4 linked regions of the Saccharomyces cerevisiae S288C genome follow. The protein of the gene in region 2 interacts with the protein of the main gene of each other region in a pairwise test. Each region holds a gene or a part of one and is shown on either strand. Other genes may lie near its edges. The genes, in order: LST8, TOR1, GLN3 and FMP48.

Evidence for each region.
Region 1: the proteins of TOR1 (region 2) and LST8 interact in binary tests that used the Saccharomyces cerevisiae proteins (3 or more experiments, as listed by UniProt).
Region 3: the proteins of TOR1 (region 2) and GLN3 interact in a two-hybrid assay, tested with the Saccharomyces cerevisiae proteins (5 studies listed by BioGRID, with this or other methods).
Region 4: the proteins of TOR1 (region 2) and FMP48 interact in binary tests that used the Saccharomyces cerevisiae proteins (3 or more experiments, as listed by UniProt).

What each region holds. Positions count from the first base shown.
Region 1 is NC_001146.8:618,100-624,834, forward strand, and holds LST8 (TOR complex subunit LST8), read left to right. Parts: upstream 1-1,967; coding exon 1,968-2,879; downstream 2,880-6,735. Other genes in the region: putative ubiquitin-protein ligase ASI3, read right to left, coding at 1-142; type II HSP40 co-chaperone SIS1, read right to left, coding at 408-1,466; mitochondrial 54S ribosomal protein bL27m MRP7, read right to left, coding at 3,214-4,329; HRB1 (mRNA-binding protein), read left to right, coding at 4,816-4,845, 5,188-6,522. UniProt on the Saccharomyces cerevisiae protein: Essential component of both TORC1 and TORC2. TORC1 regulates multiple cellular processes to control cell growth in response to environmental signals. Nutrient limitation and environmental stress signals cause inactivation of TORC1.
Region 2 is NC_001142.9:555,607-566,920, forward strand, and holds TOR1 (phosphatidylinositol kinase-related protein kinase TOR1), read left to right. Parts: upstream 1-3,809; coding exon 3,810-11,222; downstream 11,223-11,314. Other genes in the region: chaperonin-containing T-complex subunit CCT5, read left to right, coding at 308-1,996; ARP3 (actin-related protein 3), read right to left, coding at 2,203-3,552.
Region 3 is NC_001137.3:228,065-235,957, forward strand, and holds GLN3 (nitrogen-responsive transcriptional regulator GLN3), read left to right. Parts: upstream 1-1,730; coding exon 1,731-3,923; downstream 3,924-7,893. Other genes in the region: Smc5-Smc6 complex subunit KRE29, read right to left, coding at 1-188; FMP49 (Fmp49p), read left to right, coding at 387-767; HVG1 (putative GDP-mannose transporter), read right to left, coding at 392-1,141; YER039C-A (uncharacterized protein), read right to left, coding at 1,199-1,417; YEN1 (crossover junction endodeoxyribonuclease), read left to right, coding at 4,397-6,676; MXR1 (peptide-methionine-S-sulfoxide reductase), read left to right, coding at 6,873-7,427; SAH1 (adenosylhomocysteinase), read right to left, coding at 7,706-7,893. UniProt on the Saccharomyces cerevisiae protein: Positive nitrogen regulatory protein. Required for the activation of transcription of a number of genes (including the allantoin pathway genes) in response to the replacement of glutamine by glutamate as source of nitrogen.
Region 4 is NC_001139.9:589,989-596,694, forward strand, and holds FMP48 (protein kinase FMP48), read left to right. Parts: upstream 1-3,607; coding exon 3,608-4,717; downstream 4,718-6,706. Other genes in the region: polyubiquitin-binding protein UFD1, read left to right, coding at 1-923; SCM4 (Scm4p), read left to right, coding at 1,326-1,889; YGR050C (uncharacterized protein), read right to left, coding at 2,098-2,454; MCO32 (Mco32p), read right to left, coding at 4,998-5,849; YGR054W (translation initiation factor 2A), read left to right, coding at 6,705-6,706.

The sequences.
Region 1 (6,735 bases), on a different chromosome or scaffold from region 2:
TAGAATTTGGACTTACAAAAACTTCCGGTTTCTGAGTTGTGTTATCTAGGTAATTAAGATTTCCAGTCTTGTTGTGAAAAAAGCTAAATACATCTCTGTTATGGAGCAATTGCTTAACATGTTGCAATATATTTGTAGACATCAGTCAAACTTTTGAAAATCCCTACGTAATGACTGTTCCTGACAAATTGTAGCCTCTCGGTGACCTTCTGTCAAGTCAACCATTCCTTACATACATCATTTATATGCCAGAGGGCAGGGTAATGCAGACATACAAAAACTTTAATTTACCGCGCACCGCACCGCGCAATTTAAGATTATTGAGTCAAAATTAATGATGTATATTATATGATTTCTGTGGTGATAAATTTATTTGAGTTTATAATTATATTTGCTTAGGATTACTATTAAAAATTTTCATCTATAGCACGTTTTTGAGCGTCGTTTAGTGATATTGGATAGTCCACTTTATATTTTACAATCAAATTACCTCTCTGAGATGGGTTCTTTGGAGTTGGCATACCTTGACCAGGATAAGTAGAAGTTTGTGAGGGTTGGACAGGCTGTACTCTCGACAAAGGTAAGGTTCTGCCATCAATTGTTTGGATAGTTTTTGAAAAACCTAACAATGATTCCTTGAAAGATAGTGGCAGAGTGTAAATTAGGTCATCACCGTCTCTTTTAAAGTTTGGATGGCTCTTTTCCTGGATGACAAACTGCAAAGTCTTTCTACGGCCCGTTTGAGGATTGTAATCACCCTGGTTCTTGTATGTTATTTTGGTACCAGCTTTCCAACCCGGTTTTAATTGAATGTCAATTTGTGTCTTTTCAGAGGCCCCATGTGGGCCCTTTCTTCCAATTTTAAATGACTTCTTTTTACCAACAAACAAATCTTCTAGACTAACTGGTAAATTAACTTGAACTGTTTCTTCCTCTGGATACGTGGGAGAGCTTGATGCTGATCTAAAGCCGCCAGGCATACCTCCCATGCCGCCATGCATTCCTCCCATTCCTCCAGGCATACCTCCCATACCAGCACCGCCGCCAGATGGATAACTAGAGAAACTGAAGCCACTGTCATCAGCACCACCGAATGGGGAACTGCCGCCAAAGAATTGTGAAAAAATATTGAAAGCATCCTCATTACTGAACGCATGTCCTCCGGAGAATCCGCCCGCACCGCCAGGGAAGCCTCCAGCACCTCCAGCACCGCCAGGACCACCAGGACCAAAGCTTGGACCACCAGATCTAGCAGCCTCGAGACCGTATTGATCATATATTTCCCTTTTTTGAGGATCATTTAAAATTTCAAAGGCCTCTGATATCTCCTTAAACTTTTCTGTGTCACCTGTTGGCTTATCTGGATGATATTTTAGAGCTGCTTTTCTATAACCCTTTTTCAGTTCTTGCTCATTAGCACTTGGAGATACTCCAAGTAAATCATAAAGTTTTGTCTCCTTGACCATTATTAGTTCTGTATACTATACTCTATTATATTGATGTGAATGTATTAAAAAAAAAATCTTAAAATGCAAACAACTTATCCTTTATCCTCTGAAGAGTTTCTGGATGGTTATACAATTCTAAGTCGTTAAAAGAATTCGTGTAAGAGCTTAAATAATATTAATTAGAATTTTTGACAAGAAAGCGCATAAGTTTAAAAAGGGATTAACAATACGGTAAAGGGACGAGAAATCTATACAATATATATTAAATCTCGAACTACCTTGGCAAGGAGTTTGTGCTGACAGTGGTTGAAAAACCCGTAAAAGGATATCCCATTCTTTTTCCAGAAGTTTCTGGAACGTTCATATAAACCAAAGAGGGTAACACAATACGTTAAGATTCAGAAAAGTAACGACTAGCTATTACTGATCATGTTATAGAAGAGTGCGACAACCATATATTATTAGCGCAGCGATCAACGTGGCAGTCTTGTCATCCATATAAAAAAGGAGTTCTGATTGATGTCTGTTATCTTAGTATCTGCTGGCTATGACCACACAATAAGATTTTGGGAGGCTCTTACTGGGGTTTGTTCAAGAACAATTCAGCATTCCGACTCACAGGTTAATCGCTTAGAAATCACCAACGATAAAAAGTTGTTGGCAACAGCAGGCCATCAAAACGTACGGCTTTATGACATTCGGACGACAAATCCCAATCCAGTAGCATCCTTTGAGGGTCATCGGGGAAACGTTACCTCCGTTTCTTTTCAACAGGACAACAGATGGATGGTGACCTCTAGCGAAGATGGGACCATTAAAGTTTGGGATGTGCGTTCTCCGTCCATTCCTAGAAATTACAAACATAACGCACCAGTAAATGAAGTCGTAATTCATCCTAACCAAGGCGAGTTGATATCTTGTGATAGAGATGGTAATATAAGAATTTGGGACTTAGGAGAAAATCAGTGTACCCATCAATTGACACCTGAGGACGATACCTCTCTCCAGTCTTTATCTATGGCAAGTGATGGTTCGATGTTAGCGGCAGCAAATACTAAAGGTAATTGTTACGTATGGGAAATGCCAAATCATACTGACGCATCCCATCTAAAACCGGTAACAAAATTCAGAGCGCACTCCACATATATAACTAGAATTCTACTATCATCTGATGTAAAACATTTGGCAACATGTTCAGCGGATCACACTGCTCGTGTGTGGTCGATTGATGATGATTTTAAGCTAGAAACGACATTGGATGGCCACCAAAGGTGGGTTTGGGATTGCGCATTTAGTGCTGACAGTGCGTATCTAGTAACGGCATCGTCCGATCATTACGTGAGATTATGGGATTTATCAACTAGAGAAATTGTCAGACAGTACGGTGGACACCACAAGGGAGCTGTATGTGTCGCATTAAACGATGTATAGTTTACAATTTATCAACTACCAAGCTTGAAGGACCGAAGTGACAAAAAACATTATGATTTTCAGTGTTTGCTTATCCGCCTTTTTGTAAATATAGATTTTACTATCCTGTGCATTTTAGTTAATTGATTGTTCACAAAATGAAAGCAATCGCGATGCATATCATCAATGAAAGGAAGACGAGAATGTACAGTATAAACATATTCCCTTGCATGTAGCACTAAATTTTAAGTTTCGTGTAGACGAAAGGTTTAGCTACTTGCGCGACAAAATAGTAATATTTACAGGCATTCTTAAACATTTTATATGTGTACATACTGTGCGTAAGGAAAGAAAATCAAAGCTTGCTCAAAAAAGCCCGCCTACTTCTAGCAATGACTTCAACTTTATTTTTGGTGTAATCAAAACGTCTAGACACAATTGACTTCTTCCCGCTTTTGGTTTCAACCGTACTATCTGTTTCGGGGAAGACCGACTTTAAGTATTTCCTACGCAAATGTACTTCTTCAGATAAAGTCAAAAAATTACAAGCGTCCTTGAAAAGCGCCTTAATATAATTCTTGTCTTTTTTGGTTTCTAAGTGTTGGGATTTTTCTAGGTCCTCTAATAGTTTTGCCTTCAAAGCTTGTTTTTCTTGTTCCGAAATATACTGGTGTAGCTCTAGCTTGTTATTGAAAGATGTAGATGAGTTCAAAAGATCACTACACTCATCAATCTTGGATAGACTCTCCGACAATTTCTCATTCGTCCAGCTTTCTCTCCTTGCCTTCAAACGCTCTTCTTCTTTTAAATAATATCTACTATTGAACCTTGCATCTTCTATGGGGTATCCATTCTTCAGGGAAGCCCTTACACGAATTAAGTATGACGTTGCCAATTCGATGTCTTTTATATCTAACTTAAGTTCATCCCGAAGAACCTTACTCAACTTGTCTTGTAACTCCTTTCTTTTAGATTCCCTGACCTCTAACTGCTTCAAAATATTAGGTTTTGCGAGATAGTCTTTTCTAGAAATAGAATTTTCTTCCTTATATGCTGCCCTTTTATTTGTTAACTCAAAACGGCCAAACCTCCTTACGGTAGGCTCAAAATGAGGAGATGGCAGTTTCAAATCACGCCTCAAGGCAACACCAATGAATTTTCTTTTAGGATGAAAAGGATCAAGATAGTAACGAACAACACCAGGTTCTAAGGCGAATATGGAATGATCTTTCCCTATACCAACGTTTTCTCCAGGATAAAACTTTGTTCCTCTTTGCCTCATAATAATTTCACCTGTGGAAACATCCTGGCCTTCATATTTTTTTGGTCCTAACCTTCTTCCTGCAGAATCCTTCATACTTGTTCTCGAGCCCGCAGCCCTTTTGGTGGCATTACGCACTTGAAGGAACACACCAGACACATGTTTTTGGAATGAAAAACTAGAAGTATCTAGTAAAATAGGATTCCACATATTCTCACCTTAGGTTAAGCTTGAAATATTATGACCACCCAAACTGGCGAGTTTTATTTTTACAATGAGCCAACTTCATTCTTCAGTGAACTATCTTGAATGAGTCTCCAAAGAAAGAGCTTTAAAATTCAATAGCGGAACGTCAGATATCGAAACACCCAGTCATAACAGCCAAATTTGCATAATTGGTATAAAAACAGTGTGTATAACATTACAGAGAAGCCGTTGTGTGAAAATCTTTTTAGTACCTATTCAACCAAACAATTGAACTTGAACACCAAACTCTAGCCATCCTTATCCTCTTCTGGTCACTACATATACCTCAATTTACGTCTTTCCTTGGGTCGTTTCAAATGACTCTCTTTGTTTAGCGAGGGAAATGAAAAAGTAGAGTACTGGCTGAAAAATTTCATAATTATGTTTGCTCATGAGTTCGAAAACAGTTTGAATGAGCAGATAGAACGCCAAATATTAAGTTAACAGGATATGTCTGATCAAGAACGAGGTTCAGAAAACGTATGTTTCATTGATAAGGGAGGTGAAGAAAAGTTTGTAAAATGAGACTTTATGAGGTCATTGGAATTAAATAGACATCAACGAATGGTGAGTCACCATTTAATGCTGCCTTCAAAACGCTTGCTTCAATGTGATTCCACTGGTTAAAGGGGGTTTTTTGAATGCATTGCTAATGTTTATCTACTGGCTATGAAAGTGAGAATATCAATTATAAATAAAACCCTGATTTTCTACCTGCCATGCTATAATGTACAGTTTATTCCAACTTTGAAACGCAATGACTTATTGGTCTCTCTCATTATGAAATTTAGTTACTTTTACTAATGTTATTCATTGTTGTAGAATAATCGAAGTAGATCGAGGTCGAGATCACCTGTTCGTCGTCGGATGAGTGATGATCATGGTTATGAAAGAGACAACCATTTGTCCCGGAGGTCAGGTAATTATAACGGTAGGCGTAAGTTCGCAGATACGTACAGAGGAAGCAGAGATAGAGGAGAATATAGAGGAGGTAGAGAAAGGTCTGATTACAGAGAAAGAGAAAGGTTCAATAACAGAGATAATCCTAGATCTAGAGACCGTTACGATGATAGGCGCAGAGGAAGAGATGTGACTGGTCGTTATGGGAACAGACGTGATGACTATCCTAGAAGCTTTAGGAGTAGACACAATACACGTGATGACAGTAGGAGAGGCGGTTTTGGTAGTAGTGGAGCAAGAGGTGATTACGGTCCTTTGTTGGCACGTGAATTGGATAGTACATACGAAGAAAAGGTCAATAGAAACTATTCCAATAGTATATTCGTGGGTAATTTAACATATGACAGCACCCCCGAAGATCTCACTGAGTTTTTTTCACAGATAGGAAAAGTAGTCCGCGCGGATATAATTACATCAAGAGGGCACCACAGAGGTATGGGTACAGTAGAGTTCACTAATTCGGATGATGTTGACAGGGCCATCCGCCAGTACGATGGGGCCTTCTTCATGGATCGTAAAATCTTCGTCAGGCAAGATAATCCACCACCGTCAAACAATATCAAGGAAAGGAAAGCACTCGATAGAGGAGAGCTTAGACATAACCGAAAAACACATGAAGTTATTGTAAAAAATTTACCTGCTTCCGTTAATTGGCAGGCTTTGAAAGACATATTCAAGGAATGTGGGAATGTCGCACACGCTGATGTGGAATTGGATGGCGATGGAGTATCCACTGGATCTGGTACGGTGTCCTTTTATGATATTAAAGATCTGCATAGAGCGATTGAGAAATACAACGGTTATAGTATAGAGGGTAACGTCTTGGATGTCAAGTCTAAGGAAAGCGTACATAACCACAGTGATGGAGACGATGTTGATATCCCAATGGATGATTCTCCCGTTAACGAAGAAGCTCGAAAATTTACCGAAAACGTTGTCGGTGGAGGTGAAAGAAATAGACTCATATATTGCAGTAATTTGCCATTTTCAACTGCAAAAAGTGATCTTTACGACCTTTTCGAGACAATCGGAAAGGTTAACAATGCTGAATTAAGGTATGATTCCAAAGGGGCACCAACTGGAATAGCTGTCGTTGAATACGATAACGTCGATGATGCAGATGTTTGTATTGAAAGATTGAATAATTATAACTATGGGGGTTGTGATTTGGATATATCGTACGCTAAACGCCTCTAGAACTACTCTCGATCTATATACTTTCTCACCTATTGGATCTGCGACAAGTATTTATTCATTCTTGACTTATTTCCAGGCTTTTTAACTTTATAATGTCATTGTGTATACGTATAATCTGAAAAAATTTCGAAGACTTTGAAGAAGACTGTGAAAAGAGTCTGATTTTTCCAATACAGTGAAAATGGGTTTAACAAATATCCAAAAAAGTACTTT
Region 2 (11,314 bases):
TTAATATCATCCCCGCTTTCATCATGTGAACATCTATAGAACATCATTTATAAAAACAAAAAATCTATGTACTGACGATATAATAGCGTACATTATCATATTATTCTTACTATTTATCATACTCATCGCATCTACTGTTCTCGAGAACGTGTAAAGTGATTTATGCCATTGAATGAAAAATTTTGTTAAGGAACAACTAGAAATATAATAGTGTCTTGGTGGATGTGGCAAATGAGGTGTGCGTGATAAAGAGCTACAAACTCAAAGTAATAACAGCTATCATCCATTTTTATAGCAATATTTGAAAATGGCTGCTCGTCCACAACAACCTCCTATGGAAATGCCGGATCTGTCGAACGCCATTGTGGCACAAGACGAGATGGGTAGACCCTTTATTATCGTGAAGGATCAAGGTAACAAGAAGAGACAGCACGGATTAGAGGCCAAGAAATCACATATATTGGCTGCTAGATCAGTAGCTTCTATTATCAAAACTTCGTTGGGTCCCCGTGGGTTAGATAAGATCTTGATTTCACCTGACGGTGAAATCACCATCACTAACGATGGTGCTACAATTTTGTCCCAAATGGAGCTAGATAATGAGATTGCAAAGTTGTTAGTACAACTTTCCAAATCTCAAGATGATGAAATTGGTGATGGTACTACTGGTGTTGTTGTTCTGGCAAGTGCGCTACTTGACCAAGCATTGGAGTTAATTCAAAAGGGTATACATCCAATCAAAATCGCTAATGGATTTGATGAAGCCGCCAAATTAGCCATTTCCAAGTTAGAAGAAACATGTGACGACATTTCTGCGTCAAACGATGAATTGTTCAGGGACTTTTTATTGAGGGCCGCCAAAACTTCTTTGGGCTCCAAAATTGTTTCCAAGGATCATGATAGATTTGCTGAAATGGCTGTGGAAGCCGTCATAAATGTCATGGACAAAGATCGTAAAGACGTGGATTTCGATTTAATCAAAATGCAAGGACGGGTTGGCGGATCTATAAGCGATTCAAAATTGATTAATGGTGTCATTTTGGATAAAGATTTTTCTCATCCACAAATGCCTAAATGTGTTTTACCAAAAGAGGGCTCTGATGGTGTTAAGTTAGCTATATTAACGTGTCCATTTGAACCTCCTAAACCAAAGACCAAGCATAAATTAGACATTTCTTCAGTAGAAGAATACCAAAAATTACAGACTTATGAACAAGATAAGTTCAAAGAAATGATAGACGATGTGAAGAAAGCGGGCGCAGATGTTGTTATATGCCAATGGGGGTTTGACGATGAGGCCAATCATCTACTTCTACAGAATGATTTACCTGCCGTAAGATGGGTAGGTGGCCAAGAACTAGAACACATTGCCATTTCCACAAACGGTCGCATTGTTCCAAGATTTCAAGACTTGTCTAAGGATAAATTAGGTACATGTTCCAGAATTTACGAGCAGGAGTTTGGTACTACTAAGGATCGTATGCTGATTATCGAGCAAAGTAAAGAAACAAAAACTGTAACATGTTTTGTTCGCGGTTCCAATAAAATGATCGTGGATGAAGCTGAACGTGCATTGCATGACTCACTATGTGTGGTACGTAACTTGGTTAAAGACTCACGTGTAGTTTACGGTGGGGGAGCAGCCGAAGTGACTATGTCCCTGGCTGTCTCTGAGGAAGCTGATAAGCAACGTGGTATTGATCAGTATGCATTCCGTGGATTCGCCCAAGCGTTAGACACCATTCCAATGACTTTGGCTGAAAATTCTGGTCTTGATCCAATCGGAACTTTGTCTACATTGAAAAGTAAACAACTGAAAGAAAAGATTTCCAACATTGGTGTCGATTGCTTAGGTTACGGGTCTAATGACATGAAGGAACTATTTGTCGTTGATCCATTTATTGGCAAAAAGCAGCAAATTCTTTTAGCTACTCAATTATGTAGAATGATTTTAAAGATTGATAACGTCATCATTAGTGGTAAAGATGAGTATTGATTTTGTATAAATAAATAATAAAAGATAAGTTTTAATCACATATCCCACAATTTTTTTTCTCAGATCAGCATTTGGGGTTACTTGATTGTACATATACGTGTATATAATCAGTTGTATACGTATATTTAAATGAAGTGAGGGGCGTTTCAGTTATTTGCATTTGTTTTTGTACCTTTTTCCTTATAAGATGAGTCATGACTCAATAATCAAACCATGTTGAAAAGGCTGAAATTTCTAACAATTTCCGGACCATATTCCTCATAATCTTTCTTAGTGTGACAGTAGCCTTTGAATTCGGCTGTTTGTGCCAGCAGCGAGCCACCAAACCAGACAGCGTTTCTCTGCTTCCGATGAGAAATCACGGAAACATCTACACCAGTCGATTTAGTTCCACTTAACAGCTCACTTTGTGCGATTCTGTTATTTACGATAGACTTTAGATCTCTTTGTAAACGACGTCCAAAATCTTTGAACATGGTAGACCCACCTGATAGTACAATATTGTTGTATAAACCTTTACGGACGTCAATAGGGCAAGCCTGGATAGTTTGATCCACTACCGTGGGTAAAGGAGTCAAGAAGTCTGAGGATGCAATTTCTGGATTGAAGAAGATTTCAGGTGCTAAGAATCTTTCGTAACCAATATCTACGACTTTTCTCCTTGTCTTTTCTTGGTTTTCCACCACAAATTGGGCAAATTTAGAAGGATCTTTATCGAATTTGTTAAACTCCTTTACAATATCTGGACAGACGTAACAGTATTCTTGCTTAATCTTTTCGGCAGTTCTCAAGGAAGTGTCTGCTTCACCACGTTCTCTTAGCAAGGATTGGATGAACAATGTGATGTCTCTACCGGCTATTGGAATGTTTTTAATTGCTGAGCCAATGACGTAACCTTCCGCCACTGGGATGACGTGGGTGACACCATCACCAGAATCTATAACAGTACCAGTTAATGATCTATCCGTGACTTTTGAAGAGGTCCATGACGCAGCCAGAGCCAAAACTGCTTGCACAGCAATATATAGACCAGCACAATTAAATGATTCAAAAAAAATCTCCGCCACTTGCTCTCTGTTTTCTGGAGGATTCAGTGGTGGTTCGGTCAATAGGAAAAAATGATCTTCAGGCTCTGTTCTTAAATACTTGAAGATGGAATTTTCCCAGAATCTTTCCATGTGATCCCAATTTTCCACTTGACCGTGTCTGATTGGATAGCTCAAAGAGTAAGAGGGTCCTTGGGATGCTACTAAAGCCTCATTTCCAATATAGAAATCCAAATCTTCTGTACCTCTTTTACCGGATAAATTATTAGACAGCAAACCACCTGTTGCACCATTGAAATTGGTTGCAGAGGTGGAATTTCCAAAGTATGATGCTTCATTACTAACTGCTGAGGGCGCACCAACGCCCGAGGACTTCTTTGTATTTGAAGGTGCAGCTGTGGCTATTGCAGTAGGGAAGACCCAGGAGGGAGAATCATTACCGGCGAAACCGAGCTTGGTCAGCCCGGTACCATTGTCCATGACAACAGCGGGATTGTTTAAGTATGACATTGAATCCTAATTTCTTGCTCAATCGTGAGGCCTTACGGTAGGGCCAATTCTTGATTAAACTACTCTCATATATTTTTGTTTGAAACTTTTGAAAAGGGGTTCTCGCCATTTTGAAGCCGCGGACAGCCGGGTGACTACTGAAAGTCCTTATCGAAGGGTCTTCTTGAGCTTACGTTAAAAAAGAGCCATAGTAGCTTCACGAGAGAGTCATTGGTAAAGTGAAACATACATCAACCGGCTAGCAGGTTTGCATTGATATGGAACCGCATGAGGAGCAGATTTGGAAGAGTAAACTTTTGAAAGCGGCTAACAACGATATGGACATGGATAGAAATGTGCCGTTGGCACCGAATCTGAATGTGAATATGAACATGAAAATGAATGCGAGCAGGAACGGGGATGAATTCGGTCTGACTTCTAGTAGGTTTGATGGAGTGGTGATTGGCAGTAATGGGGATGTAAATTTTAAGCCCATTTTGGAGAAAATTTTCCGCGAATTAACCAGTGATTACAAGGAGGAACGAAAATTGGCCAGTATTTCATTATTTGATCTACTAGTATCCTTGGAACATGAATTGTCGATAGAAGAGTTCCAAGCAGTTTCAAATGACATAAACAATAAGATTTTGGAGCTGGTCCATACAAAAAAAACGAGCACTAGGGTAGGGGCTGTTCTATCCATAGACACTTTGATTTCATTCTACGCATATACTGAAAGGTTGCCTAACGAAACTTCACGACTGGCTGGTTACCTTCGAGGGCTAATACCTTCTAATGATGTAGAGGTCATGAGACTCGCTGCAAAGACTCTGGGCAAGTTAGCCGTTCCAGGAGGTACATATACCTCTGATTTCGTGGAATTTGAGATAAAGTCTTGCTTAGAATGGCTTACTGCCTCCACGGAAAAGAATTCATTCTCGAGTTCGAAGCCAGACCATGCTAAACATGCTGCGCTTCTGATTATAACAGCGTTGGCAGAGAATTGTCCTTATTTACTCTACCAATACTTGAATTCCATACTAGATAACATTTGGAGAGCACTAAGAGACCCACATTTGGTGATCAGAATTGATGCGTCCATTACATTGGCCAAATGTCTTTCCACCCTACGAAATAGGGATCCTCAGTTAACTAGCCAGTGGGTGCAGAGATTGGCTACAAGTTGTGAATACGGATTTCAAGTAAACACATTAGAATGCATCCATGCAAGTTTGTTGGTTTATAAGGAAATCTTGTTTTTGAAGGATCCCTTTTTGAATCAAGTGTTCGACCAAATGTGTCTAAATTGCATAGCTTATGAAAATCATAAAGCGAAAATGATTAGAGAAAAGATTTACCAGATTGTTCCCCTATTAGCATCGTTCAATCCTCAATTATTTGCTGGCAAATATTTGCACCAAATTATGGACAACTATTTAGAGATTTTAACCAATGCTCCAGCAAATAAAATACCACATCTCAAAGATGACAAACCACAGATTTTAATATCGATTGGTGATATTGCATATGAAGTCGGGCCCGATATCGCACCTTATGTGAAACAAATTCTTGATTATATTGAACATGATTTACAGACGAAATTCAAATTCAGAAAGAAATTTGAAAATGAAATTTTCTACTGCATCGGAAGATTGGCAGTTCCCTTGGGCCCCGTTCTAGGTAAATTATTAAACAGAAATATACTGGACCTGATGTTCAAATGCCCTCTTTCCGACTATATGCAGGAAACGTTTCAAATTCTGACTGAGAGAATACCATCACTAGGCCCCAAAATAAATGACGAGTTGCTTAACCTAGTCTGTTCAACCTTATCTGGAACACCATTTATCCAGCCAGGGTCACCAATGGAGATACCATCGTTTTCGAGAGAAAGAGCAAGAGAATGGAGAAATAAAAACATCCTACAGAAAACTGGTGAAAGTAACGATGATAATAATGATATAAAAATCATTATACAAGCTTTTAGAATGTTAAAAAATATCAAAAGCAGATTTTCGTTGGTGGAATTCGTGAGAATTGTTGCACTTTCTTACATTGAGCATACAGATCCCAGAGTAAGGAAACTAGCTGCGTTGACATCTTGTGAAATTTACGTCAAGGATAACATCTGCAAACAAACATCACTACACTCTCTGAACACTGTATCTGAAGTGTTATCAAAGCTTCTAGCCATTACGATTGCGGACCCTTTACAAGATATCCGTTTAGAAGTTTTAAAGAATCTTAATCCATGTTTCGATCCCCAGTTGGCACAACCAGATAATTTGAGACTCTTGTTTACTGCACTGCACGATGAGTCGTTCAATATTCAGTCAGTAGCAATGGAGCTTGTCGGTAGGTTGTCTTCCGTAAACCCTGCATACGTCATCCCATCGATAAGAAAAATACTACTGGAACTGCTAACAAAATTAAAATTCTCAACTTCTTCTCGAGAAAAGGAAGAAACTGCCAGTTTGTTATGTACTCTTATCAGGTCGAGTAAAGATGTTGCGAAACCTTATATCGAACCTCTTTTAAATGTTCTTTTACCAAAATTCCAAGATACCTCTTCAACGGTTGCATCAACTGCACTGAGAACTATAGGTGAGCTATCTGTTGTAGGGGGCGAAGATATGAAGATATATCTTAAGGATTTGTTTCCTTTAATTATCAAAACATTTCAGGATCAATCAAACTCTTTCAAGAGAGAAGCTGCACTTAAGGCCCTTGGTCAACTTGCAGCCTCATCTGGTTACGTGATAGATCCTTTACTCGACTATCCCGAATTATTGGGTATATTGGTGAATATATTGAAGACAGAAAACTCTCAAAATATTAGGAGACAAACAGTCACTTTGATAGGTATACTGGGAGCTATCGACCCATATCGCCAAAAAGAACGTGAGGTTACCTCTACTACCGATATATCTACAGAACAGAACGCCCCGCCTATCGACATTGCTCTTCTCATGCAGGGCATGTCTCCTTCGAATGATGAGTATTATACCACTGTTGTCATTCACTGCCTGCTAAAAATCCTAAAAGATCCATCCCTATCATCTTACCACACTGCCGTGATCCAAGCGATTATGCATATTTTTCAAACCCTTGGTCTAAAATGTGTTTCATTCTTGGACCAGATCATCCCAACTATTTTGGACGTAATGCGTACATGCTCTCAGTCACTATTAGAATTTTACTTCCAACAGCTTTGCTCTTTGATTATTATCGTAAGGCAACACATAAGACCTCATGTCGATTCTATATTCCAGGCTATCAAAGATTTTTCTTCGGTTGCTAAGCTACAAATAACGCTTGTAAGTGTTATTGAAGCAATATCAAAGGCTCTGGAGGGTGAATTCAAAAGATTGGTCCCTCTTACTCTGACCTTGTTCCTTGTAATTTTGGAGAATGACAAGTCTAGTGACAAGGTCCTCTCCAGAAGGGTATTGAGACTGTTAGAATCGTTTGGTCCTAACTTAGAAGGTTATTCGCATTTGATTACACCCAAGATAGTTCAAATGGCAGAATTCACCAGCGGGAACCTACAAAGGTCTGCAATAATTACTATTGGCAAACTGGCCAAGGATGTTGACCTTTTTGAGATGTCCTCAAGAATTGTTCACTCTTTACTTAGGGTACTAAGTTCAACAACGAGTGACGAACTCTCAAAAGTCATTATGAATACTTTAAGTCTACTGCTAATACAAATGGGCACATCCTTTGCTATCTTCATCCCTGTCATTAATGAAGTTTTAATGAAGAAACATATTCAACACACAATATATGATGACTTGACAAACAGAATATTAAACAATGATGTTTTACCCACAAAAATTCTTGAAGCAAATACAACGGATTATAAGCCCGCGGAACAAATGGAGGCAGCAGATGCTGGGGTCGCAAAATTACCTATAAACCAATCAGTTTTGAAAAGTGCATGGAATTCTAGCCAACAAAGAACTAAAGAAGATTGGCAGGAATGGAGCAAACGTCTATCCATTCAATTATTAAAAGAGTCACCCTCCCATGCTCTAAGAGCTTGTTCAAATCTTGCAAGCATGTATTATCCACTAGCCAAAGAACTTTTTAATACCGCATTCGCATGTGTTTGGACCGAACTTTATAGCCAATATCAAGAAGATTTAATTGGGTCATTATGTATAGCCTTATCTTCTCCCTTAAATCCACCAGAAATACATCAAACATTGTTAAACCTGGTAGAATTTATGGAACACGATGACAAGGCATTACCAATACCAACTCAAAGCCTGGGCGAGTATGCTGAAAGATGTCACGCCTATGCCAAAGCGCTACATTATAAAGAGATTAAATTTATTAAAGAGCCTGAGAACTCAACTATTGAATCATTGATCAGCATTAACAACCAGCTGAATCAAACGGATGCTGCAATTGGTATATTAAAGCATGCCCAACAACATCATTCACTTCAATTAAAGGAGACATGGTTTGAAAAATTAGAGCGTTGGGAAGATGCACTACATGCTTATAATGAACGTGAAAAGGCAGGTGATACTTCCGTGAGCGTTACACTCGGTAAGATGAGATCCCTTCATGCCCTTGGCGAATGGGAACAGTTGTCGCAATTGGCAGCTAGAAAGTGGAAAGTTTCGAAGCTACAAACTAAGAAGCTAATAGCTCCCTTGGCAGCTGGTGCTGCGTGGGGGTTGGGAGAGTGGGATATGCTTGAGCAATATATCAGCGTTATGAAACCTAAATCTCCAGATAAGGAATTTTTTGATGCAATTTTATACTTGCACAAGAATGATTACGACAATGCTAGTAAGCATATATTAAACGCCAGAGATTTGCTTGTGACTGAAATTTCCGCGTTGATCAATGAAAGTTATAATAGAGCATATAGCGTTATTGTTAGAACTCAAATAATAACAGAGTTTGAGGAAATCATCAAGTATAAACAATTGCCACCTAATTCCGAGAAAAAACTTCACTATCAAAATCTTTGGACAAAAAGACTGCTGGGCTGCCAAAAAAATGTCGATTTATGGCAAAGAGTGCTTAGAGTAAGATCATTGGTAATAAAGCCCAAGCAAGACCTGCAAATATGGATAAAATTTGCAAATTTGTGCAGAAAATCTGGTAGAATGAGGCTAGCAAATAAGGCATTGAATATGCTACTAGAAGGAGGCAACGATCCTAGTTTACCAAATACGTTCAAAGCTCCTCCCCCAGTTGTTTACGCGCAACTAAAATATATTTGGGCTACAGGAGCTTATAAAGAAGCATTAAACCACTTGATAGGATTTACATCCAGGTTAGCGCATGATCTTGGTTTGGATCCGAATAATATGATCGCGCAAAGTGTCAAACTCTCAAGTGCAAGTACTGCTCCGTATGTTGAGGAATACACAAAATTATTAGCTCGATGTTTTTTAAAGCAAGGTGAGTGGAGAATAGCAACACAACCGAACTGGAGAAACACAAATCCGGATGCAATTCTTGGTTCTTATCTATTGGCTACACATTTCGATAAAAATTGGTACAAGGCATGGCATAATTGGGCCTTAGCTAATTTTGAAGTAATATCCATGGTTCAGGAAGAGACTAAGCTCAACGGAGGTAAGAATGATGATGATGATGACACGGCAGTTAATAATGATAATGTGCGGATTGACGGTAGTATCCTAGGAAGTGGTTCTTTGACTATTAATGGCAACAGATACCCGCTAGAGCTTATTCAAAGACATGTTGTTCCAGCGATCAAGGGCTTTTTTCATTCAATATCTCTATTAGAAACAAGTTGTTTGCAAGACACGTTGAGGTTATTGACTCTTTTATTTAACTTTGGTGGTATTAAAGAAGTCTCACAAGCCATGTATGAAGGCTTCAATTTGATGAAAATAGAGAACTGGCTTGAAGTCTTACCACAGTTGATCTCTCGTATACATCAGCCAGATCCTACGGTGAGTAATTCCCTTTTGTCGTTGCTTTCTGATTTAGGGAAAGCTCATCCACAAGCTCTCGTGTATCCTTTAACTGTCGCGATCAAGTCTGAATCTGTTTCAAGACAAAAAGCGGCTCTTTCAATAATAGAGAAAATTAGGATTCATAGTCCAGTCCTGGTAAACCAGGCAGAATTAGTTAGTCACGAGTTGATCAGAGTAGCCGTTCTATGGCACGAATTATGGTATGAAGGACTGGAAGATGCGAGCCGCCAATTTTTCGTTGAACATAACATAGAAAAAATGTTTTCTACTTTAGAACCTTTACATAAACACTTAGGCAATGAGCCTCAAACGTTAAGTGAGGTATCGTTTCAGAAATCATTTGGTAGAGATTTGAACGATGCCTACGAATGGTTGAATAACTACAAAAAGTCAAAAGACATCAATAATTTGAACCAAGCTTGGGATATTTATTATAACGTCTTCAGAAAAATAACACGTCAAATACCACAGTTACAAACCTTAGACTTACAGCATGTTTCTCCCCAGCTTCTGGCTACTCATGATCTCGAATTGGCTGTTCCTGGGACATATTTCCCAGGAAAACCTACCATTAGAATAGCGAAGTTTGAGCCATTATTTTCTGTGATCTCTTCGAAGCAAAGGCCAAGAAAATTCTCCATCAAGGGTAGCGACGGTAAAGATTATAAATACGTTTTAAAGGGACATGAAGATATAAGACAAGATAGCCTTGTTATGCAATTATTTGGTCTAGTTAACACTTTGTTGAAGAATGATTCAGAGTGTTTCAAGAGACATTTGGATATCCAACAATACCCGGCTATTCCATTGTCGCCTAAATCTGGTTTACTAGGATGGGTACCAAATAGTGACACATTCCACGTTTTGATCAGAGAACACCGTGATGCCAAAAAAATTCCGTTGAACATTGAACATTGGGTTATGTTACAAATGGCCCCCGATTATGAGAATTTGACTCTTTTACAAAAAATTGAAGTATTCACGTACGCTTTAGATAATACAAAAGGCCAAGACCTTTATAAAATATTATGGTTAAAGAGTAGGTCGTCAGAGACATGGCTAGAACGTAGAACAACTTATACGAGATCTTTAGCAGTTATGTCCATGACTGGTTATATTCTGGGACTAGGTGATCGCCATCCAAGCAACCTGATGCTAGATAGAATCACCGGTAAAGTTATCCACATTGATTTCGGCGATTGTTTTGAAGCTGCCATCTTAAGAGAAAAGTATCCAGAAAAAGTGCCATTTAGACTAACTAGGATGTTAACATACGCAATGGAAGTTAGTGGAATTGAAGGCAGTTTCCGAATTACTTGTGAAAATGTCATGAGAGTCTTAAGAGATAATAAAGAATCATTAATGGCGATCTTGGAAGCTTTTGCGCTTGATCCTTTGATCCATTGGGGATTTGATTTACCGCCACAAAAACTTACTGAGCAAACTGGAATTCCTTTGCCGTTGATTAATCCTAGTGAATTATTAAGGAAGGGGGCAATTACTGTCGAAGAAGCGGCAAATATGGAAGCAGAACAACAAAATGAGACCAAAAACGCCAGAGCAATGCTTGTTTTGAGACGTATTACAGATAAATTAACGGGCAATGATATCAAGAGGTTCAATGAATTAGACGTCCCTGAGCAGGTTGATAAACTGATCCAACAAGCCACTTCTATTGAAAGGTTATGTCAACATTATATTGGATGGTGCCCATTCTGGTGACTGCGGTGTCATTTTTCATTTCGTGCTTTGTTTACTATTTATTTTTTTTGTATTACGCATTTGTATACGTGTGCAAGTATTGTGTATTATTA
Region 3 (7,893 bases), on a different chromosome or scaffold from region 2:
TCTTCGTCGCTATTCAAACTGTCGTTCTCAGGATCACTAATAAAGTTGGGATGCACCTTCTCATCGTCATCGTCATCGCGAAAGTAACTTCCCACACTAGTCGGTATCAAAGGAGAATCAAACCCTGAAATTTGTGAATCTGGCACAGTTTCAAACTCTTCATTCGGTGATGAGTTCACGCTTCCCATTTGTGACACTGCCCTTTTGTGCGTCTAACAAAATTTTATCACTTTATTGCTATTTACTTGAAAAATTATATATGAATATATTTCATAAAACGATGCTGACATAATATGTAACATAAAAAAAGGAATAACCTAAAACAAATACAAAGAAGACCCCATATAAATGAATATAAATGTATATTTTGCTTGAGCAAATGAAGAATGTACTACTTCTCAAGAGTAGCTGCTAGAACTTTTTGCTGTTGTATCTTTTTCTGTTTAGCCACAGCGTACAGCAGGCCAGACAGAAATCCTAGAAAGATAGAAAAGAAGGACAAAAAGTTTTTTGGAGCGTCAAAGAACACCAATCCCGCCAACGCTATGGGCAATTTGTTCAAAGCACCAACCATAGAATACGTTGTAGAGGAAGTTACACGAACACACCAGCCGGAACAGTACGATATCCCCACGGACATGAGCCCACTGATGACCATTGCTGCCAGTGAGTCGGCGGACAAGTTCACAGACAAATTCTTTGTGGACCAATCTTCCATAATGAAGGAAAAGACTAGCAGCAAAGGCAATGCCAGAACGTTGTTATAAAACATAGTATCATAGTCTTTAAAGTTAGTCAGCCGAATTCTCTTCCGCATAATCAAAACGAACAATGCAGACGAAATACAATTGGTGAACATCCAGAGGTACCCCGGATTCAACACAAAGATGGTTGACTCAACAAGTTCCTGATCGAGATCCTCCAAAGATGATGCTTTGATTGCAATGGCCTGCTGATCGCCCCAGGTGGCCACTACAGATGAAAGGACCATCATAATAAATGACGTCAACTCCATAGAAGTGACTTTTCCGCCAAAGAAGAGGACCTCGCCATAAGCAATGAGAATGATCGTCAGATTCTTGAAAATTGTGTAGATGGGCACGGCAAGGTATTGTAAGCTCTTTGACGACGTATAAATCATCAATACGAGCAGCAAAGAAATTGGAAACCAGTTTTTTACATCTGTCCTGTTCAAAGATCAAAAATTAGCAACGCCTACAATTCGTAGGATACATAGCGTCACAGTGCACACCAGTGATTGTACAAACAACATCACAAAGTTCATGTTAAAGTTGTCCAGGTTAACCACGAATTTGTTCGTTACTGTCATCAAAATCGAGGACGCGCAGTAAGATAAGATTGAAGCCGGCCCAGAGTTGGCCACTGATTCCGTCCATTCATGCTTATGCTTGCTCATAATTACCACACCTTCTTGATCTCTTTACAGCTTTTCAACCTTCCATTCTTGTACTCTATCTCTACCTGGCCCTTTAAACATTCTTAATATGATATATTCACATTTTTTGCTCTATTACCCGGCGGACAGGTTCCCGAAAGAAAGTGACATGGCAATGCTGAGAGAGTGGAAAGAGTCATCTTGCAAGACAGAGAAAGATGTTCAAGAGTGGTAAGCTAATGTCAGCGCAGTAGCCCATCCCACAATAACAGAGTGTGTAAGAAAGAGAGACGAGAGAGAGCACAGGGCCCCCTTTTCCCCCACCAACAAACAAATGCAAGACGACCCCGAAAATTCGAAGCTGTACGACCTGCTGAATAGTCATCTGGACGTGCATGGTCGAAGTAATGAAGAGCCGAGACAAACTGGTGACAGTAGGAGCCAGAGTAGTGGCAACACCGGTGAAAACGAGGAGGATATAGCATTTGCCAGTGGATTAAACGGCGGCACATTCGACTCAATGCTGGAGGCACTGCCCGATGATTTATATTTTACGGACTTCGTGTCTCCTTTTACAGCAGCTGCCACGACCAGCGTGACTACTAAGACGGTCAAGGACACCACACCAGCTACCAATCATATGGATGATGATATTGCGATGTTTGATTCACTTGCCACAACTCAGCCCATCGACATAGCCGCATCCAACCAACAAAATGGTGAAATTGCACAACTTTGGGACTTTAACGTGGACCAATTCAACATGACGCCCAGCAACTCGAGCGGTTCAGCTACTATTAGTGCTCCTAACAGCTTTACTTCCGACATACCGCAATACAACCACGGTTCCCTCGGCAACAGCGTCTCCAAATCCTCACTGTTCCCGTATAATTCCAGCACGTCCAACAGCAACATCAACCAGCCATCTATCAATAACAACTCAAATACTAATGCGCAGTCCCACCATTCCTTCAACATCTACAAACTACAAAACAACAACTCATCTTCATCCGCTATGAACATTACCAATAATAATAATAGCAACAATAGTAATATCCAGCATCCTTTTCTGAAGAAGAGCGATTCGATAGGATTATCTTCATCCAACACAACAAATTCTGTAAGAAAAAACTCACTTATCAAGCCAATGTCGTCCACGTCCCTGGCCAATTTCAAAAGAGCTGCCTCAGTATCTTCCAGTATATCCAATATGGAACCATCAGGACAAAATAAAAAACCTCTGATACAATGTTTCAATTGTAAAACTTTCAAGACACCGCTTTGGAGGAGAAGCCCAGAGGGGAATACTCTTTGCAATGCCTGCGGTCTTTTCCAGAAATTACATGGTACCATGAGGCCATTATCCTTAAAATCGGACGTTATCAAAAAGAGGATTTCAAAGAAGAGAGCCAAACAAACGGACCCAAACATTGCACAAAATACTCCAAGTGCACCTGCAACTGCCTCAACTTCAGTAACCACTACAAATGCTAAACCCATACGATCGAGGAAAAAATCACTACAACAAAACTCTTTATCTAGAGTGATACCTGAAGAAATCATTAGAGACAACATCGGTAATACTAATAATATCCTTAATGTAAATAGGGGAGGCTATAACTTCAACTCAGTCCCCTCCCCGGTCCTCATGAACAGCCAATCGTATAATAGTAGTAACGCAAATTTTAATGGAGCAAGCAATGCAAATTTGAATTCTAATAACTTAATGCGTCACAATTCGAACACTGTTACTCCTAATTTTAGAAGGTCTTCAAGACGAAGTAGTACTTCATCGAACACCTCAAGTTCCAGTAAATCTTCATCCAGATCTGTTGTTCCGATATTACCAAAACCTTCACCTAATAGCGCTAATTCACAGCAGTTCAACATGAACATGAACCTAATGAACACAACAAATAATGTAAGTGCAGGAAATAGTGTCGCATCCTCACCAAGAATTATATCGTCCGCAAACTTTAACTCAAATAGTCCTCTACAGCAGAATCTATTATCAAATTCTTTCCAACGTCAAGGAATGAATATACCAAGAAGAAAGATGTCGCGCAATGCATCGTACTCCTCATCGTTTATGGCTGCGTCTTTGCAACAACTGCACGAACAGCAACAAGTGGACGTGAATTCCAACACAAACACGAATTCGAATAGACAGAATTGGAATTCAAGCAATAGCGTTTCAACAAATTCAAGATCATCAAATTTTGTCTCTCAAAAGCCAAATTTTGATATTTTTAATACTCCTGTAGATTCACCGAGTGTCTCAAGACCTTCTTCAAGAAAATCACATACCTCATTGTTATCACAACAATTGCAGAACTCGGAGTCGAATTCGTTTATCTCAAATCACAAATTTAACAATAGATTATCAAGTGACTCTACTTCACCTATAAAATATGAAGCAGATGTGAGTGCAGGCGGAAAGATCAGTGAGGATAATTCCACAAAAGGATCTTCTAAAGAAAGTTCAGCAATTGCTGACGAATTGGATTGGTTAAAATTTGGTATATGACCGCGTATTATCATTATCATTATTCTTATTATGTTAATAATTACTGAACGGTTGCATTGATAGATTTTCATTACCTCTGACCACAATCCTGAGCATTGGTATTATTTGTTTTGCTATTTTCAGATCAAATTACTTGTAAAAAAAGAAATGGTAGTATATTGGCATTGAACACTGGCTGTTCTATTTGTATTACTTTTATGTGTAGACATATATTATTAGGAATTTGTAATATCACTCTAATTATTATTTGGTATTCTTTCTCTATCTCCCCTGTTTCTTTTGTCTATCTCTTTCTTTTTTTTTTTTAAACGGCCCTTTTTTAATGGCATTTTCTTTTTCTTATAATGCCCACAGTTGAATAATTTAACTAGCTTTTGACTGACACATAAACAATAATGTATATGGTCCATCCAATGAAATGACAGTTCTATTGCATTTTACCTACTTGTATATTCTGGATACTGCACAAGAAAATGGGTGTCTCACAAATATGGGAATTTTTGAAGCCATATCTGCAAGATTCCAGAATTCCGTTGAGAAAGTTTGTCATAGACTTTAATAAATCGCAAAAAAGAGCTCCAAGAATCGCGATTGACGCATATGGATGGCTATTTGAGTGTGGATTTATCCAAAATATAGATATAAGCGCCAGATCTAGATCAAGATCAAGGAGTCCTACCCGTTCTCCGCGTGATAGTGATATCGACAGTAGTCAAGAATATTATGGTAGCAGAAGTTATACAACTACAGGAAAAGCTGTGATAAACTTCATATCTCGATTAAAAGAACTACTGAGTTTAAACGTCGAATTCTTGCTTGTATTTGACGGAGTTATGAAACCCTCTTTCAAAAGGAAATTTAACCACGAACAGAACGCTACTACTTGTGATGATGAGAAAGAGTACTATTCAAGCTGGGAACAGCATGTTAAGAATCATGAAGTTTATGGCAATTGTAAAGGATTGCTAGCGCCATCTGACCCTGAGTTCATCAGTCTTGTACGGAAATTATTAGACTTGATGAACATTTCATATGTAATCGCATGTGGGGAGGGAGAAGCCCAGTGTGTTTGGCTGCAAGTTTCTGGGGCTGTAGATTTCATTTTAAGTAACGATTCAGATACTCTCGTATTTGGGGGAGAAAAAATCCTGAAAAATTACTCGAAATTCTACGATGATTTTGGCCCAAGTTCAATAACTTCCCACAGTCCCAGTAGACATCATGATAGTAAAGAATCTTTTGTTACTGTTATAGATCTACCCAAAATTAATAAAGTAGCAGGGAAGAAGTTTGATCGCCTGTCTCTCTTATTTTTCAGCGTGCTATTAGGTGCCGATTACAATCGTGGAGTCAAGGGTTTGGGTAAAAACAAATCTTTGCAGTTGGCTCAATGCGAAGATCCTAACTTTTCCATGGAATTTTATGACATTTTCAAAGATTTCAATTTAGAAGATTTGACATCAGAAAGTCTGAGGAAGTCTCGGTATAGATTGTTTCAAAAAAGATTATATTTATACTGCAAGGATCATTCTGTCGAGCTATTTGGAAGAAATTATCCTGTTTTATTGAATCAAGGTTCATTTGAAGGCTGGCCATCAACTGTCGCAATCATGCACTATTTTCACCCCATTGTCCAACCATATTTTGATGAAGAAGTTCTCAGTGATAAATACATAAATATGGCTGGAAACGGACACTACAGAAACTTAAATTTCAATGAACTGAAATATTTTTTACAAAGTTTGAATTTGCCTCAAATTTCTAGCTTCGACAAGTGGTTTCATGATTCTATGCACGAGATGTTTCTATTAAGAGAATTTTTATCAATTGATGAGTCCGATAATATAGGTAAAGGTAATATGAGGATTACCGAAGAAAAAATTATGAACATAGATGGTGGAAAGTTCCAAATACCATGTTTTAAAATACGGTATACAACATTCTTGCCTAATATACCCATTTCTTCTCAATCTCCTTTGAAGCGCAGTAATTCTCCCAGTAGAAGCAAGAGTCCCACACGACGTCAGATGGATATAATGGAACACCCAAATAGTCTTTGGTTACCCAAATACTTGATACCTCAATCGCATCCATTAGTAATTCAATATTATGAGACACAGCAACTTATACAGAAAGAAAAAGAGAAGAAAGGTAAAAAATCGAATAAGTCTCGGCTACCACAGAAGAATAACTTGGATGAGTTTTTAAGAAAGCATACTTCGCCGATTAAAAGTATCGGAAAGGTAGGCGAGTCGAGAAAGGAAATCCTGGAACCTGTGAGAAAAAGGCTTTTTGTAGATACAGACGAAGATACTAGTCTGGAAGAAATACCGGCTCCCACAAGACTGACCACCGTCGATGAACACAGCGATAATGACGATGATTCGTTGATTTTTGTAGATGAGATTACAAACAGCCAAAGCGTTTTAGATAGTTCACCCGGTAAAAGAATTCGGGATCTTACACAGGACGAACAGGTTGACGTTTGGAAGGACGTAATAGAAATATCACCAATAAAAAAGTCAAGAACTACTAATGCTGAGAAAAATCCGCCTGAGTCTGGTTTAAAATCACGCTCAAGCATCACAATCAATGCTCGCCTTCAAGGTACTAAGATGTTGCCTCCAAACTTGACTGCTCCAAGGTTAGAAAGAGAACACTCCTCTGTCCTTGACCAACTTGTCACAGACGCACAAGATACAGTCGACCGGTTTGTAGCCTGTGACAGTGATAGCAGTAGCACTATTGAATGAGTTAACGGGCACAGCGTCAAAAAATCCGCCACCACAGTTGATCGCGCCGAAAACGAGGGAGTTGCGATGAGTAAAATGAAGGGCATATATAAACAAGAGTAGACAGAGACACATTTTTCAATATCATATATATAGATTTAATTGGAAAGACAGTTATATTCTAACGTCAAAAACTTAACAAGTAAATCAAGTTGCAATGTCGTCGCTTATTTCAAAAACCATTAAGTATGATCCAGCCAAGGATAAATTAATCACATTAGCATGTGGATGTTTTTGGGGTACAGAACATATGTATAGGAAGTATTTGAATGACCGTATAGTGGATTGTAAAGTAGGTTACGCTAATGGAGAAGAGTCTAAAAAGGATAGCCCCTCTAGTGTCTCTTATAAGAGAGTTTGTGGTGGTGACACAGATTTTGCGGAGGTTTTACAAGTATCCTATAATCCCAAAGTGATAACTTTGAGAGAATTAACTGATTTCTTTTTTAGAATCCATGATCCTACTACATCTAATTCACAAGGACCTGATAAAGGTACACAGTATCGCAGTGGATTGTTCGCTCATTCAGATGCTGATTTAAAAGAATTAGCCAAAATAAAGGAAGAATGGCAACCAAAATGGGGTAATAAGATTGCCACAGTTATTGAACCAATCAAGAACTTTTACGATGCTGAAGAATACCACCAGTTATATTTAGATAAGAATCCACAGGGATATGCATGCCCTACTCATTATCTGAGAGAAATGTAGCTTTTTTAGTGTACGTGCCCTTATTTATGAAAAAAAGTCAAGTGCATGAATGAAATATTTACTGTTGAAGAATTTATTATATATATAGGTATACAGGATCTATCTTTTCGATAACGTAACTTAGTATCACATGTATTAGTATTAATACTGTGATAGGATTGTTAGCTGTTGTTTTTATATTTGCAATTTATTTATGATCTTTTTTGATGATCAAACCGTTGAGTTTTTGAACATTAAAAAATAGTGAGAAAGAAGAACTGAAATGGGAATTGAATTGATCAATATCTGTAGTGGTCGGCCTTGAATGGACCTTCTTCTGGAATACCCAAGTATTCAGATTGGACTTTACTCAATTTAGTCAATCTAACACCCAAGTTGCCCAAGTGGAACTTAGCGACAGCTTCATCCAAGATCTTTGGCAAAACGTGGACACCAACTTCGAATGGGCCTGTCTTTTGGAATTCAA
Region 4 (6,706 bases), on a different chromosome or scaffold from region 2:
TAAGCAAACTATCCATGTTGAACATAAGATACCCCATGCTTTTTAAACTAACTGCCAATGAAACTGGACGTGTGACACATGGAGGTGTTTTAGAATTTATTGCTGAAGAGGGCAGAGTTTACTTACCACAATGGATGATGGAAACTTTGGGTATACAGCCAGGATCTCTACTGCAAATTTCATCTACTGATGTACCTCTGGGCCAGTTTGTGAAGTTAGAACCTCAGTCTGTAGATTTCTTGGATATTTCCGACCCCAAAGCAGTTTTGGAAAACGTACTGAGGAATTTCTCGACTTTGACCGTGGACGATGTTATTGAGATTAGTTACAATGGTAAAACTTTCAAAATTAAGATCTTAGAAGTCAAACCAGAATCATCATCGAAGAGTATATGTGTCATTGAAACAGATTTAGTAACAGATTTTGCTCCACCTGTAGGATATGTGGAACCGGATTACAAAGCGCTGAAAGCTCAGCAAGATAAAGAAAAAAAGAATTCTTTTGGTAAGGGCCAAGTTTTGGATCCCTCGGTGCTTGGCCAGGGATCGATGTCCACAAGAATCGACTATGCGGGTATCGCTAACAGTAGCAGAAACAAACTATCTAAATTTGTAGGTCAGGGACAAAACATATCTGGTAAAGCTCCGAAAGCGGAGCCCAAGCAAGATATAAAAGATATGAAGATAACGTTTGATGGCGAGCCCGCCAAGCTAGATCTGCCTGAAGGCCAATTATTCTTTGGTTTCCCAATGGTCCTACCGAAAGAAGACGAAGAAAGTGCCGCTGGTAGCAAATCCAGTGAACAAAATTTCCAAGGCCAAGGGATCTCACTAAGGAAGAGCAATAAGAGAAAAACGAAAAGTGACCATGATTCGTCCAAGTCCAAGGCTCCCAAAAGCCCGGAAGTAATCGAAATTGACTAAAAGATATATACTAGTATACAACAATATAGTGTCTTTGACAGATATATAGAGCATTTTCAAGTTAACAGATCTTAGAATCCAAGTATCTTATGCATCGCATTAGCTCTGCTGCATTTGCTGTTCGTTTAGTAAAAATAATTACGTGCGCGGTTGCGCGATATTTCCCTTGCTTAATGCCGAAGTAATTCTCTTCGTTTACCCATACTCGAATCTATTGTGTTGTTGAAAAATAAAAAAAAAAAGAACCAGGTTATATAATTGTGAGTTGATCAGTATATAAATGAGAGAAAAGAAGTTTCTATTGTTCCAAATTATATCCAAGCTGATTTTTTAACCCTTACCTCACGAAAAGCAAGTTTAAGACAAACACTCATAAGAATCCTTACATATACTAAAAAACAAATGCAAGTCTCCCCAGCTATTGTAAAAGGTATCGCAGTCTCATCATTAGGTTTATACGCCGGTATTTTAACTTCATCTACCGTGATTTCTATTACCACCCCAATAAATGTTCTAACTCAACATTTGAAGAATGTTTTGTGCACATTAGGATGCTGGAGCACCGTTTTAGGTGGTTTAGCTACTGGTGCCTTTGGACTCAGCTACTATCTAGCTGCACCAGGAGAAAGACCAAACTACCTTTTGTGCGGACTTGGTGTCGCCCCATTATCTGCAGCCTACCTATACTTAGTATCACTGTTCAATCACAAGCTAGCCCCAAAATGCACACGTGACCAAAATGATTTAGAAAAGCAAAAGGATGAAAAATTACCCCAACATCACCCGGAAGTCAAAGATGGGGAAGCTGCATGCCCATTCTCAAAGATGAACAACGCCAAAACATTAAAACCTGAATCCGAAAGAAGCGTAAAATGTCACTCATACATGTCATTGCACATGAGCATTGTAACCGGTATAACAATTTTTACCTTTGGTAAGTGTATCCTAGATGGATTCAAAGCATGAACGACGAAGCACGTGACACGTTCCCTTCAAACATCACAATTATTTAAGCGAGACTAATATATATGTTTAGCGAAAAAAAAGGCCAAAAAAACTAGTAAATATACAAAGCAGAGTATTTTTGGCTCTTGTCCACATTGGATAAGAGAATATTTATTTTTCACACAGAAAAAAAAGTTATATACGTATCTCTAAGAAAGTCAAAGACAAATTACGTAGAATGTGATTCATTCCCATTTCGCCCGTACACTCTCTGTCTCTGTCTCTGTCCCAAACTTCCCTTCCTATACGTATTCATAATCTGCTTAAACGTCAACAGTAGTTTCGGAACATCTTCATACGTAGGGAATACGACTTTTTTCTTTTCACCTGCAGCTTGAGCCAAACTAAAACTGGGATCCGGATAAACTATTAATAAAGGATCGCAAAGTCCATACGCCAGTTTAATGGGAATGAAATGATATTGCGAAGTGACGTCAAGAATCGACTTTAAGCTATATCCGAAGTCAAGAAAGCCGAACCTTACATGCGGTCGGAAAGCAAACGAGGAGATTAGATTGGTTTTCATATCCGCTAAATTTTCTTTTGATTTTACTTTGGCTTAATCTAATGCATGTATATCGGAAGAAGCAACCGATCTGGCCCAGTTGAGTCGTGCTACCTTAGTCATGCCCAGGAAAACCGGATTCCTTCTTTTCATTATGACATCCGTTTAGGTCAATAGGCTTTTTTTTCTCTCGCCCGTGCCTCTCCGTGTTCGATGAATGTGCAGCTTGCCTCCGAGCGGGCGAGCCACCTCGAGCGGGTGACGAAATAGTGGAAAAGAAACGGGGAAGCAAAACTGTGCTGTTCTGGCCCGCAGCGGACGAACGTCATTAAAGGCGCTCCATTTCTGTCGTGAGGGTCTTTCGGTGCGGTGGTGAGGCTGCGTAAACAAGCTTGCTCTTCATACCCCTCCCGTGGAGCTAGTTCGGAAGGACTATTGGCGCATCTTCTGTTGAGAGGTTCCGTAATTCTCCGTAACGTCCCGTTCACCACTTTGCATGTGCTCTCACGTACGGCCGTCTCTTTTCGGCCTTCGGCCCGTTCCGATTTTTGTACCCCTTACGTGCTTTGAATTCTAGAAGGCATCTCCTCTCCGATGGCTTGGTACAGGGAGCACTAGGGAAATTGCACATGGAAGTATCTGGAATACAAAGTTTTTGAAAAGAAAAGCCGAGCGTAATATTGGGACAATACCCAGTTCTCAGCCTTTTCAGCGCGGGTATGAGACAGCTTGCAACAGGTAAAAGGAAGTTAGAAGGGTTAGGTGAAGGGAACGATGATGCTGCCTGAGAACAAAAATGCAGCTTCATGTTACATACAATAAAGGAAGGATAATTAAGGGGACCATGCAATAAGGGACAACTTAATTTTGGAAAAATCGGAGCTTAGTTGCATCTACCTACTAATACTTTCCCCAAAGAATAATAATACGAGTACAATACATATATATATATATATATAATATACACATGTAAGTGATGACTATTCTTAATACAAAAAAATTTCCCTTTTATAATAACTATTCTTAGCATTAAATAACCCGTTACTGACAAAAAGCATATAACATAGGACTCAAGATCGACTCTCATACCCTCCGAATCAAATTCTCACTCGTATACGCAATCATTTAAATAAGCACATCATTATCAGCATATACCGAATAATAAAAAGCAAAAATGTATACAAAACTAAGATCTATACAATCAGGAACATTTAGCACAGTTTATAAAGCATGGAGTACTACACATAACCGCTACGTCGCTTTAAAGATTACTCCTAAATACAAAACTTCAGAAGCCAACATGAAGAACGAGTATGATGTAATGAAGATTTTGAGTTCTTGTAATCCTCACCCCAACATCTGTTCGATGCTCGACTTTTACACGGATGACTCGTACTACATCATGGTGCTAGAATACTGCGAATGTGGTGATCTTTATGACTTTCTAGATATTGCTAAGAGTCAAGGTAGCCCGTCGTCTCCATCTTTGATTCAAATTGATATGCAAAAGATAATCAAACAACTGTGCTCAGCAATCAGCTTTGCTCACAGCTTGGGTATTGCTCATCGTGATATCAAACCAGAAAATATTTTGCTAACGATAAATGGTGACATCAAGTTGGCAGACTGGGGTCACGCTATCCAATCCCCTAAATCTAACGACTTCCAGATTGGTACCGATAATTACAGGGCGCCAGAAACTTTCTCTGGCCGCGTTAGTAACTCTTGTTTTAAGAAGAATTTCGATCGGTCATCGGCTCCATTGTATAACACATACCAAGCTGACTATTGGTCATTGGGTGCCACCATATTTTATCTGATGTTCGGCGATTGCCTTTTTAGAGTCTCCAAATCAAAGAAGGTTCAGCATCTAAAAAATTTCGATGAGTTTGAAAAAGATCCATTTGCATTCATTTACAGGAAATACGTAGTACCAAGGCTCTCCTGTGGTTACAATGATGAAGAAGACCTACACGTTAGCCTGCAGCATACGAGGCAGTACATATGGCAAGATCTACCCGACATTTATGATGTCTTCCATTTGTGCAAGATTATGGTTGATACCTTATTAAAGGTATCGAACGCTAAAGAGAGGTCGATGGAGAATTTCATCAATGAAGTTGATTCTGCATGGAACAAAGATAGCTCGATGGACAGCTGCTTCTCGTACCAAAATAAGATTGATCTGTTTTGGGAACAGTGGTCTGTGAACACGGAAACAGTACCAGCAAAGTTCCAATTGAAAAATTTTGAGAAACCTTGCCTAATTCAAGATGGAAAATAAGAAGTAAAAAAGACCTTTTGAAAGTTTCGCCTCATTTTCCTTGATCTGACTTTTTATCCCCTGCTTATCCAATTTTAGTTAGGAACTTTGGCATAATTTCAGTATTACATACTACCTAATCGACATAAAATAATATTACATATTCATTTTTTTAAAAAATAATCATAATCAATTTATCCTTTTTATTCCTTTTTTCTCCTGTGCAAGGTTGATGGTGATGTTTATGATGGTGTGTTTATTATTTACAAATAAAGATGCTATCTAATTCTTGTATATCGTATTAACATGCAAATGCACCGCGAGTGGCAATTTTCTTCTCGTAATGGATCAGTTCAACATCTTCAATGGTATGAACCAGAATTTTCGAATTTTCTTCGTTAAATTCGAATATGAATGTTCCCTTAATCAGCCGGGATAATCTCTTTTTTTTACTTCTTTTACCGTCGCCATCATTTTTCTTCTTCTCATCTTCTTTGGAATTTTGAGTTTCGTTGACCTTATTTTCCATTGACCTTTCAGCTGCATTTTCAAGGTACTCAGAGATAACACTTTGGTTCAAATTATTGGCTGTAGGATGTAAAATGTAGTCTATGACTGGTACCGACCTCATTGAAAATGAACCGCCTGCACCATTGCCTCGTTTCTCCTCTTTCAATCTGTCATTAATTTCTAATTTGGTAATCTTGCAATGGTCTTCCGGTATGCAGCTTTGCCATTTGATCACCAATTTGTCATTACATGTTATGGTATTATAACTCTGAAGAGCAGATTTAACTTCTTCATCATGCGATGTCGATGTTAGAGTCTTTACTGAACTTATATGCAAGCGACATTCATCGCCCAAGATAAACTTTCGTACTATCATTCGCATTGCATTCAAAGAAGCCATGTATTTTGATTTTCCATGTAACACTGGAATATATGGATGCGATGTTGGAAATAGTCTAAAAACAACGTTATCCGCCAACACTGACTCCTTGAACATTTTTTGTAACAAATTGGGAACACCTTTAACCACTAAATAATCTGTTATTTGCCCCAAATTGGCCACTTTTTGAGAATTGGAGTACCATCGAGGAAAGATTCCTTTGATAGATATTATGCCGGCTCTGCAAACACACTTTAGTAACATAAGTCTTTCCCCCTATTATCTATGAATATAAACTGTCTATCTTTCCTTGGTTGTGATGTATCGTTTTCCGTAGAGGCTTGCAGCTTTATGGCTCATACCTGTCATCCCTCTTTATGGGCCTTTTAAGGGCGCTCTCTACATTGTATTCTATTCATTTTTTTCGTAACCGTAACTACGCGCCTTCTTAACGCAAGGCGCTCGACTCATCATGAGATGCGTATGAATGTCTTTCAGTGTATAGAAATACATCTCACCAAATCTATTTATTTAACTAATATTTCTTTTAATATTTTCCTCAAGAAACTCAGGCAGTTAATGTTGTGTCCTATTTTTTTTAGTTCTTTCCCATTTTTATAGCACTCGTACAAAAGAAATCGAAATATTTCAATATGTTTAGACTCGGTTCTATGTGTTAAAACTGCAAGATGAAAAAGTAACATCTATCTTAGATTAAGGTCCTTTCTTTATATTCTTTACTTTATTAGTGAGCAGAAATATTATTAAAAATTGCCGCTGTCATACTGTACGATATTATTACCCGACCGCAGAATGTTCCTCAATACTTTCTTTTTCTTCCTTTTTTTCACTTCGCTTTCTTCATGTCCATCAATGAAATTTCAGCTTCATAGCGATTTATTTTCAGTGTACGTTATTCAATGAAGATTCCTTTTCCTCGATCTATCCAGACGACTAGACATAGCGAGAATTCTTTACGGTAGAAGCAACCTATAGATTACCGAATCATAACTTTCTTTAGTGTTGATTGAGACGTGTTGTGTTTAAACTATCCATTGCATCTCGATAAAAAAACATAGTACTACAACAAACAGTCAGGTTCAATAACACCTAAACATTAT